Linked DNA regions of Arabidopsis thaliana. The protein of the gene in region 2 purifies or fractionates together with the protein of the main gene of each other region. This does not show direct contact. Each region holds a gene or a part of one and is shown on either strand. Other genes may lie near its edges.

Evidence for each region.
Region 1: the proteins of AT4G28440 (region 2) and AT1G53060 fractionate together in Arabidopsis thaliana (co-fractionation; one large-scale study listed by BioGRID). This does not show direct contact.
Region 3: the proteins of AT4G28440 (region 2) and AT1G53070 fractionate together in Arabidopsis thaliana (co-fractionation; one large-scale study listed by BioGRID). This does not show direct contact.

What each region holds. Positions count from the first base shown.
Region 1 is NC_003070.9:19,774,108-19,777,530, forward strand, and holds AT1G53060 (Legume lectin family protein), read left to right. Parts: upstream 1-1,815; 5' UTR 1,816-1,944; coding exon 1,945-2,673; 3' UTR 2,674-2,923; downstream 2,924-3,423. Other genes in the region: AT1G53050 (Protein kinase superfamily protein), read left to right, coding at 1-184, 286-386, 513-621, 715-1,122, 1,206-1,424.
Region 2 is NC_003075.7:14,057,224-14,062,612, reverse strand, and holds AT4G28440 (Nucleic acid-binding, OB-fold-like protein), read right to left. Parts: upstream 2,718-5,389; 5' UTR 2,560-2,717; coding exon 2,292-2,559; intron 1,837-2,291; coding exon 1,643-1,836; 3' UTR 1,227-1,642; downstream 1-1,226. Other genes in the region: AT4G28450 (WD repeat and SOF domain-containing protein 1), read left to right, coding at 16-141, 256-361, 532-620, 727-889; AT4G28430 (Reticulon family protein), read right to left, coding at 2,841-3,169, 3,254-3,319, 3,431-3,500, 3,604-3,745, 3,829-3,903, 3,996-4,149, 4,230-4,767; AT4G28420 (Tyrosine transaminase family protein), read right to left, coding at 5,204-5,389.
Region 3 is NC_003070.9:19,776,396-19,779,947, reverse strand, and holds AT1G53070 (Legume lectin family protein), read right to left. Parts: upstream 1,816-3,552; 5' UTR 1,578-1,815; coding exon 759-1,577; 3' UTR 501-758; downstream 1-500. Other genes in the region: AT1G53060 (Legume lectin family protein), read right to left, coding at 3,168-3,552.

The DNA.
Region 1 (3,423 bases), on a different chromosome or scaffold from region 2:
CGAGGACTATTGGGTAAAATCAAGGTTGCCTCATGCAACAATTTTCAAGCCTACTCAACCATATAAACGCTTAGTGGGTGAAACATTCAAGGAGTTTCCTCAGCCAGCTTTAGCCCTTCTTGAAACTCTCCTTTCAGTCAATCCTGACGATCGTGGAACTGCCACTGCAGCTCTCAAGAGTGAGGTACTGGCATTACTCAGGCAGTAAAAGCTGTGTGTTCTTATGCGTCTGTATTTCCTGGTAATCGCTTTTGTAACATCAAATTATCATTCTTTTATTTTCAGTTCTTCTCCACCAGACCTCTTCCATGTGATCCTTCAAGCTTGCCTAAATATCCTCCCAGCAAAGAGCTCGATGCAAGAATGCGGGATGAGGAAAGTAGAAGGTATGCCATCCAGATTTTCTAGTCTGATGTGACTTTTATCCTGCAATGCTCTTACGATAGCATAGTATCATTAACGCAAAAAGAAATATTTATAGAAATGCTTTAATCTAGTTCCTGTTTTTGTAGACAAGTTGGAGGAAACAGGGACCAAAGACACCAAGAAAGAAGAGGAACTAAGGAATCTCGAGCCATCCCAGCCCCTGACGCAAATGCAGAGCTGGTTGCATCAATGCAGGTTAAAAAATCTTAAAAAATCTATTTCTTTCGATGTTAAAGCTTTTTGCTTTTATTCAACGTTTTTGACCCTCTCGCATTTATGTCATTGCAGAAAAGGCAGAGCCAGTCTACTAATAGAAGTCGAAGCGAGAAGTTTAATCCACATCCTGAAGAAGTTGCATCCGGTTTCCCAATCGATCCACCAAGGCCGTCATCACAAGCATTTGAACCAAACAGAGAATCTCAGGGCAATATAATTCCTCACAAGAGAGCTTCACATTCTGGTCCTCTATCACGTAGATCTGCTTCCGCAAAGGGTAGACGGAATTACCAAGATTCTCAAAAGGTTTCATCCATAGCTGATTACTCAGCAATGCCTGGTTTTGCCGCAACAAGAACAGGCGCACCACAACAAGAGACTTGCAGAGGAATGACTCGGCTTCCAGGTTCATTCAAGGAAACGTCTGAAGAAGCAAACCAGGAAGAGAATGGTCGAAGCAACAAGAAAGACCCTATTCTCGTAAGTTCCCTAAACGTCCCTCCTTTGCTAATTTTAGAAGACTAGCAATGTTAATATTCTGAGTTGTATGGTTTGGTTTGCAGTTGGGTTATGGATCAAAAGGGCACAAGATTCATTACTCAGGACCGTTAGTGGTTCCATCAGGAAACATGGATCAAGTGTTGAAAGACCATGACCGACATATCCAAGAAGCTGTGAGAAGAGCACGAATCGATAAGGCTCGAGTCAAGAAACTTCAAGCTGACGAAGCTTCGAGCCAACAAGTCGCAACCAATCATCCCTCATCTGTTTCTAGCCGTTGATCCATCAGTGAGGCAAAAGTAAATGATCAAACCGAACCTCATTTGCCTGAAACCTTTTAACACGGCGTATTTTGAGTGAAAAATAATTGTATTTTATTGATTCAAAGATTATATATCATCATAGAATCAAATCTTTTCACGTTTTAGCTTCCCTGTAATGTGATATTATTTTATTATAAGAAAGCTGTAGAAACAGAGTTATATATCATAATTTAGAAAATGTTCCAAAAGTTGAACTTTTTAATTTGTGACTTTTTATGAAATTTACCAAGAAAGGTGTTACGAGATCTTTACTTGTGAAAAATAAATGATCTTGTCGAGTCAAACTTTGTTGGCTCTCTTTCACTATATAAATCTTGTTATCCTCTTATACTTTCCATATCCAAGAAAAAAATAAACAGAATTGCAGATCAAAACACTCTGTTTCATTCCTCTGTTTTTTGCTCTGTTTTGCTCTCACGCCATAACGTGTTCTGCTTACAGTTTCGACTTCATTTACTTCGGAAATGGAACTGATCTGATGACATTCCATGGAGACGCCGAGTACGCTTCAGAGCCTGATGGTATGAGCAAGTCAGGAGCAATTGGATTGAGCCGTGACAATGTCCCATTCTCTCATGGTCGAGCCATTTTCATCAATCCAGTCCCTTTTAAGCCTAGTTCTACTTCTTCCTCTGTCTACTCTTTCAAAACTTCTTTCTATTTCGTCATTAGTCCTCGCCCGAAAAATCCTAATCCCGGTCATGGCCTCGCCTTTATCATCGTCCCCAACGATAGAAACGACTCCGCTTCTGGTTTAGGCTATCTCAGTCTTGTGAACCGGTTTAGCAACGGTAATCCCAAGAACCATCTCTTTGCGGTTGAGTTTGATGTTTTTAAAGACAAGTCTCTTGGCGACATTAACGATAACCATATCGGAATCAACAATAATTCGGTTAATTCAACGGTATCTAAGAAGGCCGGTTATTGGTATCAATCAAAAATCGAAGGAAAAAACCGGTGGTTGTTCAAGGAATTGAAGCTAAGTGGAAACGGATACAGGGCTTGGATTGAGTACGAGAACGGGAAAGTGACAGTCACGATCGGACGTTCACAAGAAAAACCGAAGAGGCCATTGATCGAAGCACGAGTCGATCTTTCTAAGGTTTTTCTCGAGAAAATGTATGTCGGTTTTGCCGGTTCAATGGGACGTGGCGTCGAGCGTCACGAGATCTTGGACTGGAGTTTTGAGAACAGTGCCAAAGACTAATAAACCGGTTTGCTTCAGCTTTGTTTATGTCAAAGTTGTTACTGGTTTTGCAGCTTCGTTTTCTGTCGTGAATCTCGTGATGCTAAGGCTAGTGATAGTTGAAGGCTAATAAATGCTTATGTTATGGCCTAACGTGCCATGTATCTACTTTCAGATTTCTAGAAAGATTTACAATAAAGGATCCATTTCCATAGTAAGAACTATTAGATATCGTAATCTTCTATGAGACGGTAAATTGCTGAAAAACCAGTAAGGCATGTGCCTATGTAGGCTTCAACATAGATCCTTTCCTGCAACGATCTATGTCAAGAATTAACTACAAATATTCGTCATTTGAAACATATTCTCACACAATACGTTTCATTGAGTGAAACTCGGTATACAAACTTAATCACACCATGAAAATAGACTACTCTCCACACACAAAAAAAATGTACCAGTAAGGAAATTTGAACACATACGTATGACATCCAACCATATCATGATACTTCTTTATCATCAAGTCGGGTAAGCCCTATTTCGCCTGATTTGGCTCTCATCTCAAAATTTCTCCGACCTTTTTCTGGACGAGTCGTCTCGTCTTCTTTCCCTTTTTGTAACCTCATTGCAAGTTTGCAACAACAAAAACAATCCAATGATTACTTCATTGCATGGTTTAAACAAAAACAATCCAATAATATATATACATATTTTATCAATAAAGTATATTTATAAGTTAGGTTGATTTTTTTAATATATTTTTTTTTTATT
Region 2 (5,389 bases):
TTCATCATTTTTCAGGATGGATATTGACTTTTCACCGACTGGTCGTGAGTTTGTTACGGGTTCTTATGATCGATCTGTGAGAATCTTCCCATACAATGGAGGACACAGCAGGGAAATCTACCATACAAAGAGGATGCAGAGGTACAATCTACTGAACAGTCTATATATACTTCAAGTTCAGATGTTCTAGTGTACCACCTTGGTAATTTGATTTAGTCTAAGCAATTTCTAAATTTCATTTCTTTTTTCTTGTAGAGTATTCTGTGTCAAATATAGCTGTGATGCTACATATGTAATATCGGGCAGTGATGACACCAATCTCAGGCTATGGAAGGCAAAGGCATCAGAGCAATTGGGAGTTGTAAGATTCTGTGAATTTATACAAAATAAAGACCAAAAAAGAGTTACCACAGGCTTAGCAGTTGATCCAATAGTGCATATGATTATGAGATATTACTCGTACATGCTTTCTTAAGAAGTTTTAACTTGGAACGGTGAATTGTCAATGTTAATTGGTGTGTTGTGCTGCAGATTCTTCCAAGGGAACAAAAGAAGCATGAGTACAACGAGGCTGTGAAGAACCGGTACAAGCATCTTTCTGAGGTTAAGCGCATTGTGAGGTAAATGACCAATGAAAACTGTGGTTTTATCCCATGCTTTAACTCTGGAGATTGTCAAAAGATAACTATAGTAACATGGTAACGTTTTGGTTATTGTGAATTACAGACACAGGCACTTGCCAAAACCAATATACAAAGCGATGGGTATCATTCGAACTGTGAACGATTCGAAGAGAAGAAAAGAAGCACGAAGGAAAGCTCACAGTGCTCCAGGAACAGTGGTCACAGCACCTCTGCGCAAAAGAAAGATCATCAAAGAAGTGGAGTGACTCTACTCTTTCTCCGTTTGTTCCTTTCAAGGATGATGATACGTGGAGAGGATTGTATTGGTATAGTGAGGGTAAGATTAGGAACATGAACATTTTTGCTGTGTTGTAAGCCTTTCTTTATGCCATTAAGTTATTACCCATTTCGTTTTCTTTTTTCTCTTCACTACGTATTGTGTTCATTAACTATTCGTTTTTGGTGTTACAAAGCTGATCTTCAAAGTAACATTCTGATTTCAAAGATTTATAAAGTTTGGAATTAGACCGACTTAACTAGACAATGGTTCTATGATCCGTCGATGAATTTTATGCACTTACAATTTGTCTTAACAATGACATTAATCAAGGATGAGATGCTTTCGATGTAAAAAGTTGGGCAAAACTCTCTGTAACCGAGAGGGTACAATAGTGTACATCAAATAGTAATTAATGAAAAAACAAAGACATTAGTAAAGTTTAAGAAAGAAAAACTTATTTTTACTGTATTAGATAGTGCACAAGCAAGCTCTCAATGGTCTTTAACTTACATCAACACAAATTAAAAGGAACAATTGCATTACGCCATTACCGCAGGCTCAATAGTTCTCCAGAGCAAGATCATGACCGCATATTTTAGGGTAAAAAAGAAGAAGCATATTCCTACAAGCAACTCTGGACCAGTCATACAATCTTCATCATCTAAATCAAAGACCTTCACGGTAGAAAAATCAGAACCCAACACTCTCAGGGGTTAACCTCCATAAACATACTAAAAGATCACTGATCACCACCAACATTGATCAGTTCATACTCAACGAGAGACAGATTGTTATCCTCCTTGACAGTGAAAGACGCGGCTCCAGTGGCTTCGATGCGTCCCCATTTATCAACTCCTAGCCTCATTGTACCCTTGAACATGTCTATCCTTGAATTGCGCAGTATCACCGTAGCACCCGGCTTCATAAGATCAACTATACACACACACACACACACAAAAAAAACCAATAACATCATTAGAGCTAATCAGTAGCCACATCAATTGCACGAAAACTGGTATAACAAAACTTCACATTATGAAAAGCTATGAAAGTTTTGGGATAATGTAGACCATTCAATTGAACATAACTCAACATCTAACCAAGCAAGTTTCATCATCACTATAGGTAAGACTATACAGAGTTACAGACCCTCAAGGCCAAGATTCTTTCAAGCTTCAATTTCACAAAGACATCACTAAATACACATACAATAACTGATACATCATTTACCAAATAGTACTAATAGAAACACATTTACCATTTGCTCAAAATAGAAATTGATTAAGACAAACGAGAGAACAACAAAGGATAAGACTTATCACTCTAATAAACTACGAAGACACCATTTCTATATCCATAAAGCAAGAGAAAAGTGGAGAAACAATAACCTTGATCGTTACGAGCAGTGAAGAGGATACACCCAGTTTCGTCACCGATGAGACACTCAACGATTCGACTAGGCTGAGAAGGACGACTCAGAGAACTCGCTGGACGAGTCTTCCGGGTAACAGGAACCACGATATTAGCCTCAATGACTTTAACAGTCAACGTGTGACCAGTCGTTCCAGGCTTTAGCTGTTCCACCTTCACAAACACCGGTTTTCTCTTCACCGTCGAAGTTCCCGTCGCAACCGCAGCAGTTCCAGTCGTCGCCATCGCTTCAAATTACAATACCCAGATTTCGCGTTCGCCCTAATTTGGTGGAATCGATAAAACTTTTGGAGAAGAGAAATGGGAATTTAGGGTTTATAAAGAAAAGACGACGATGTGCTCTCTCCCAAGACGGACGAGAGTTTTTATCACCTGCTTCTCACAGTTTCATGAGCTTGTCACGTGTCAATTTATTATTTGATATTAATGACTGCTCTTTATTTATTATTACGTAAATGTGAAATATTATTACACAGGTGGATACTGAAAAGACACTAGTGACTAGACTAATAAAGCTTCTTTGGTGCTTTGGTTTCTGCAACTAGCACCAACGCTTGCTCTTCTTCTGCTGACCGCGGTGAAGTTGACTTATCCTCCGGCGATTTTTGTTGCTCCGGGTGAGTTTTTTCTTGTTGCTTCTTCTCCTCCTCATCCTCGGAATCTAACTGTAGATTCTGTCGTCTGTATCTGATTACTACTACTATGATAAACACTGCAATAAAACGGGTCTTGAGAGAAGTTAGATTCCAGAATGCAGTAACTGCAGAGCCTGCTACGAATTTCTTGTGTGTGCAAACTCCCCAAGCTTCAACAAATCTCCTTTGTGCACACTCAACTACACATAAGCAAAGATCAAAGAATCCTTAGTGTCAATCATTGGAACCATCAAAGAGCTACGCAGTCTGTTAATAGAGTTTACCTTTTTGGTTAAGCTGACTTGCGTAACATGAATATAGCTTTGGAATAGTGAAGCTAAGGAAGAAACCTGTTTAAAGAAACAATGCATACTCTGTGTCAATTCTACTAGATACAACTAAAGAAAACAGTTTAGCTTTCTTTGGAGTAATGTTGACATATAGTGTTTCAACAATCATACCAAAAGCACATAATCTCCACAATGTTATGAGGTAACCATACTCAGCTCCCATTAGAACAAAAGGTGCCACCTGAAATCAAAGTAAAAACAGTGTAAGAAGGACAAAATCAACGTGAGAGTCACATTCATTGGAGAGAAGTTTTATGAGAATGGCAAAGTTTTGTAAATTCTACTTTGAGTGTCATTGCTGGTTCACCAGAGAAAAGCTCACTCGTCTTTGAAATTGCTAAATTGGTGATGGGAAGCATTCGTCTAGCTATTCGTAATACATCATCTTCACTCAATTTAAGCTCTCTCCGCGCTTCTTCAGTAACCCTTTATGGTAACAAATGGATCAAAACTTCAGTCAACTGCAGTTCAAGCTGATATTTATGTACTGGGACCTTAAAAGTTTGTACCTTTGGCGAAGAGTATTTGACAAGAACGATACCCCAAGAAACAAAAGTCCAAGATAGGAGATCGCTGAGAAAACACTTCAAACCACACAAAGTTTCATTATCAACTCATGAATGTGAAAAATGATTAAAGCTAGAAAGATAAACCTTGACAGAGAAATCAATGTTACCTAAAGTTAAATCCTTTAGCAGCAAAGCAAGTAGATAGGAAACATATACAGCCAAAACCAAACCAAAGTGTTGATTTCGCAACATCTCTCCACATAATCAAATCGCTTATATTCTCTCTAATCCGCTCTAAATCACCTTGACAAACATCTTGAGCTGAATTACACAAATCATTGAGCAATTATTAGAGCACGAAAGTGAAATCGAATGAGCTAATAGACAGAGGAAGGACATACGTTGATCTGAAGATGGACTAGGAGAAGCTAACAGAGGAACAGAACTGTGCTTCTCCTTCTTAGATCGACCCAACTTCTTCTGTTTCCTCTGGTTTTGTTTCTTTTCATCGGTCACGACAACAATTGGCTCCGTATTTTCCTTTGTATCTACCATCGCCTCCGACCTTAGTCTCGACCTCCGGAAATTCCTCGGCGACGGCGAGGCCAAAAGACCATTTTGCCCTCCCTTCGTCTTACTCCGTCGTGCCGTCACAGCAGCCTCCGCAGCTTCCATATCGAACCGATTGCTTAAACGGGTTCTCGATTTACGAAGAGGGGAAGGAGATAAAAGGAGAATCTCACGAAGAGTAACAGGAGAAGATGGTGAACTGAGAGAAACAGGTGATGGGTAAGGAGTACCGTTGTTGTTCTTCGGAGACAATAAAACCAAATCGAGAGATGGAATGTGAGATTTTACGAGAGTTTTGTTGTTTCGAGCTAGACGCAAAGCGGATCTAGTATTCGAACGGAGAGAAGGAGGTGTGGTAGTAGAGTCCATTGTATGAGAAAGTTTTTTTTGGGAAAAAGAGAGAACTTTTTTCGAATCTGAAGTGATTAAATGAGAGGAATCTCTGGGAATTTATTAGGGTTCTTGAAGATGTGATTTGGGGATTCTTAATTCCGACAATTTGAGCTCTCTGCTTTTTCTCCGGCTACTGTGGATCAGAGAGCCGTTGATGAAGAAAGAAAGTAAAAGACAAATCTTTTGCATTTTTTAAATTTGACGGCGGCAAAGTGGGTCCGTCTCTTTTAACGGTAAAGATAAAGTCTTGATTCAACATTATTCATGTCTTTTTCTACTTGACTCAAACAAAGAAATAAGATTAAGAAACATAGAGTTTCTTATATGAAAATGACATGATTATTGTTTTTTACACCACAAAAATTGCAGATTTTTTATTTGGTTGTGTATAGTCTCTCTATAGATGAGTGGTTTAGATTTTGCCATTGCTCAGAGCTTGAAAAGAAGATTCTGTTTTCTTGAGATGGCGTTTGCAGAAGCCATTGAGCCTCTCAAGTGCATCTTCCAGCATCTGAGCTTCTACTCCAATTGTTATCCTTATCCAGTTCTTCAATCCCAAAGCCACTCCTGGTAGTAAGACGAGGTTTTCTTCTTTGGC
Region 3 (3,552 bases), on a different chromosome or scaffold from region 2:
TGATGATTGTAGTCAAATCACATCGTCGTAGGTAAAATTATGAGATGCTGTCTGTCCAAGCCTCGACAACGAGGACACACTCTTCAATTGGATAAAGCAAAAACACTAAAAAAATATCTCACTGAAAGAGGGAGAATACGAAATAGATATGAGAAAGAGCGTATATACAACCACGATATATAATCTCAAAGAGCATTCATCTCTATCACACTTTTACAACATAATCTGAAAGAAACGAGACAACTTTCCGACAATTCATCAAGTCCTCCTTTCCTTCGTTCCTAGATCTCTCATTTTCCAAGTCGCATCATGGAGTGTTATAATCCACTTGGCATGTAACATTTCCTCTTTAAAAGTCTTCCACAAAACAACATAGTTGGTAGTAGACTCTTTTTTTCCGGTAAACATGTTAAGATGTTTTAGACTATTTTGATAGTCCCATAACTACGATCTCCACATTTCTCCTATAAATCTGATTCTCATCTAGTCATGTTGGCCAATTTTGATAGAATGTAAAATCATTTTTTCTTTTTTTGTCAACGAGAAATGTAATTTAAAAGTGACTAACATAAAAGATTAGGAACGAAACGTCCTTGATTTCTACTAATCTGACAACAATAATACATCAAATTGTCGGTAAGACATAAAATGAGCAATTATTTCACTTCAATTATCACAAGCTGAAGGCACACCAGGGTAAACCAGAAACATAAACCAAAAGAAAACCGATGATCTCGAACCAAACCAAACCTGTTTTCTTAATTCTGGAAAGTCCAGTCCCAAATCTCGTGACGCTCGACACCACGACCCATCGAACCAGCAAAACCGGTATACATTACCTCGTGTATGACCTTGGAAAGATCGAATTTTGCTTCAATCAATGGCCGGTTCGGTTTCTTCAAATGCGCTAAACCAATCGTAACAGAGACTACTTTATAATTGTTGTTGTACTCAATCCAAGCCTTGTATCTATCTCCACTACTTAGCTTCAAATCCTTAAATAACCAACCGCTTCTTGTCATAACCCAATAACCGGATTTCACAGAAACCACCGAATCAACCGAATTAATATCGATTCCGACATGGTTATCGTTCATGTCGCCAAGAGATTTGTCTTGAAAGACATCGAACTCAACGGCAAAGAGGTGGTTATTAGGATTACCGTTATTGGTTCGGTTCAGAAGACTGAGATAGCCTAAACCGGAACCGGCGTCGTTTTGGTTACTTGGGACGACGATGAAAGCAAGGCCATGACCTTGATTAGGGTTTGTTTTAGGAGTAATGGAGAAAGTGAAAGAGGTTTTAAAAGGGTAAAGAGCTGAAGCATTAGGCTTGAAAGTGATTGGAGTGGTGAAAATGGCTCGACCATGAGAGAAAGGAATGTTGTCTCGAGTCAATGCGATGGCTCCGGACCGGCTCTTGCCATCAGTGTCAGGACCATACTCAGCGTCTCCATGGAATGATATTGGATCGGTGCCGTTACCAAAGTAATCGAATTTGAATTTGTAAGCAGTGGTGACTTGAGAGGTGAAGATAGCTAAGAACAGAGTGGTGAAACAGAGTATTTGGATCTTCATTTTTTAGTTCTGTTTTTGGGAATTTGGGAAGTGAAAGTGGTGAACTTTAAAAGATGTGAGTGTTGAAAAGATCGAGAAGACTTAAAATAATTGAGAGAGAAGAGAGACAAAGAATTTGAATTATGGCATTAGATGACAAAAGCTGTTCTCGAAAGTGCACAAAATGGTTCTACTTTTTCTGTGCCCACAATGCTGAAAACAAAAACGTTATGAGTGTATAGGAGGAAATTAAAACTAGTATTGATTGAATAAACTTATATATGTATATAAGTTAGTCTGTCCTAATATATAGGTTAGGAAAGATATAAGTTAGTCCACATTCATGATCAAATCTATCATATTTCATTAAGTTATACCAAAACCAAATTTTTCTTAATTAACAATATACTATGTGTCCTTTATATATTAAAAGTTTTTAGTGCTTATGTGACAATCCCACATTTTTTCTCTCAGCTTTTTTACTATTTAATTATTTTGTTATAACTATCAATTTGTCAAACACATTTTTCTTTATCCTCATTCTCTTTAAACCATTTAGTCATTTACCAAACACATTTAAATTTTTTTCAAATATATAGAGTTACCAAATCATGTATTTTTAACTTCTCTTATTATCACCAAATTAACAATTTCCATTATGTGTATATATGTATATTAAATGGTTAGATTTTTCTTTAATGTCATTCAATTTGATTATGACCTAAAAATTAACAAAGTTTGATACTAAAGAAACATTTGTTTACTTTTAAATCACTCCATTTAACTTTTAAATCATCACCATTTAGTTCTAAAGTTTTTAAACCAAAATAGAATGTCTTAGTAAATAATATAAAATAAAAAAATAAAAAAAAAATATATTAAAAAAATCAACCTAACTTATAAATATACTTTATTGATAAAATATGTATATATATTATTGGATTGTTTTTGTTTAAACCATGCAATGAAGTAATCATTGGATTGTTTTTGTTGTTGCAAACTTGCAATGAGGTTACAAAAAGGGAAAGAAGACGAGACGACTCGTCCAGAAAAAGGTCGGAGAAATTTTGAGATGAGAGCCAAATCAGGCGAAATAGGGCTTACCCGACTTGATGATAAAGAAGTATCATGATATGGTTGGATGTCATACGTATGTGTTCAAATTTCCTTACTGGTACATTTTTTTTGTGTGTGGAGAGTAGTCTATTTTCATGGTGTGATTAAGTTTGTATACCGAGTTTCACTCAATGAAACGTATTGTGTGAGAATATGTTTCAAATGACGAATATTTGTAGTTAATTCTTGACATAGATCGTTGCAGGAAAGGATCTATGTTGAAGCCTACATAGGCACATGCCTTACTGGTTTTTCAGCAATTTACCGTCTCATAGAAGATTACGATATCTAATAGTTCTTACTATGGAAATGGATCCTTTATTGTAAATCTTTCTAGAAATCTGAAAGTAGATACATGGCACGTTAGGCCATAACATAAGCATTTATTAGCCTTCAACTATCACTAGCCTTAGCATCACGAGATTCACGACAGAAAACGAAGCTGCAAAACCAGTAACAACTTTGACATAAACAAAGCTGAAGCAAACCGGTTTATTAGTCTTTGGCACTGTTCTCAAAACTCCAGTCCAAGATCTCGTGACGCTCGACGCCACGTCCCATTGAACCGGCAAAACCGACATACATTTTCTCGAGAAAAACCTTAGAAAGATCGACTCGTGCTTCGATCAATGGCCTCTTCGGTTTTTCTTGTGAACGTCCGATCGTGACTGTCACTTTCCCGTTCTCGTACTCAATCCAAGCCCTGTATCCGTTTCCACTTAGCTTCAATTCCTTGAACAACCACCGGTTTTTTCCTTCGATTTTTGATTGATACCAATAACCGGCCTTCTTAGATACCGTTGAATTAACCGAATTATTGTTGATTCCGATATGGTTATCGTTAATGTCGCCAAGAGACTTGTCTTTAAAAACATCAAAC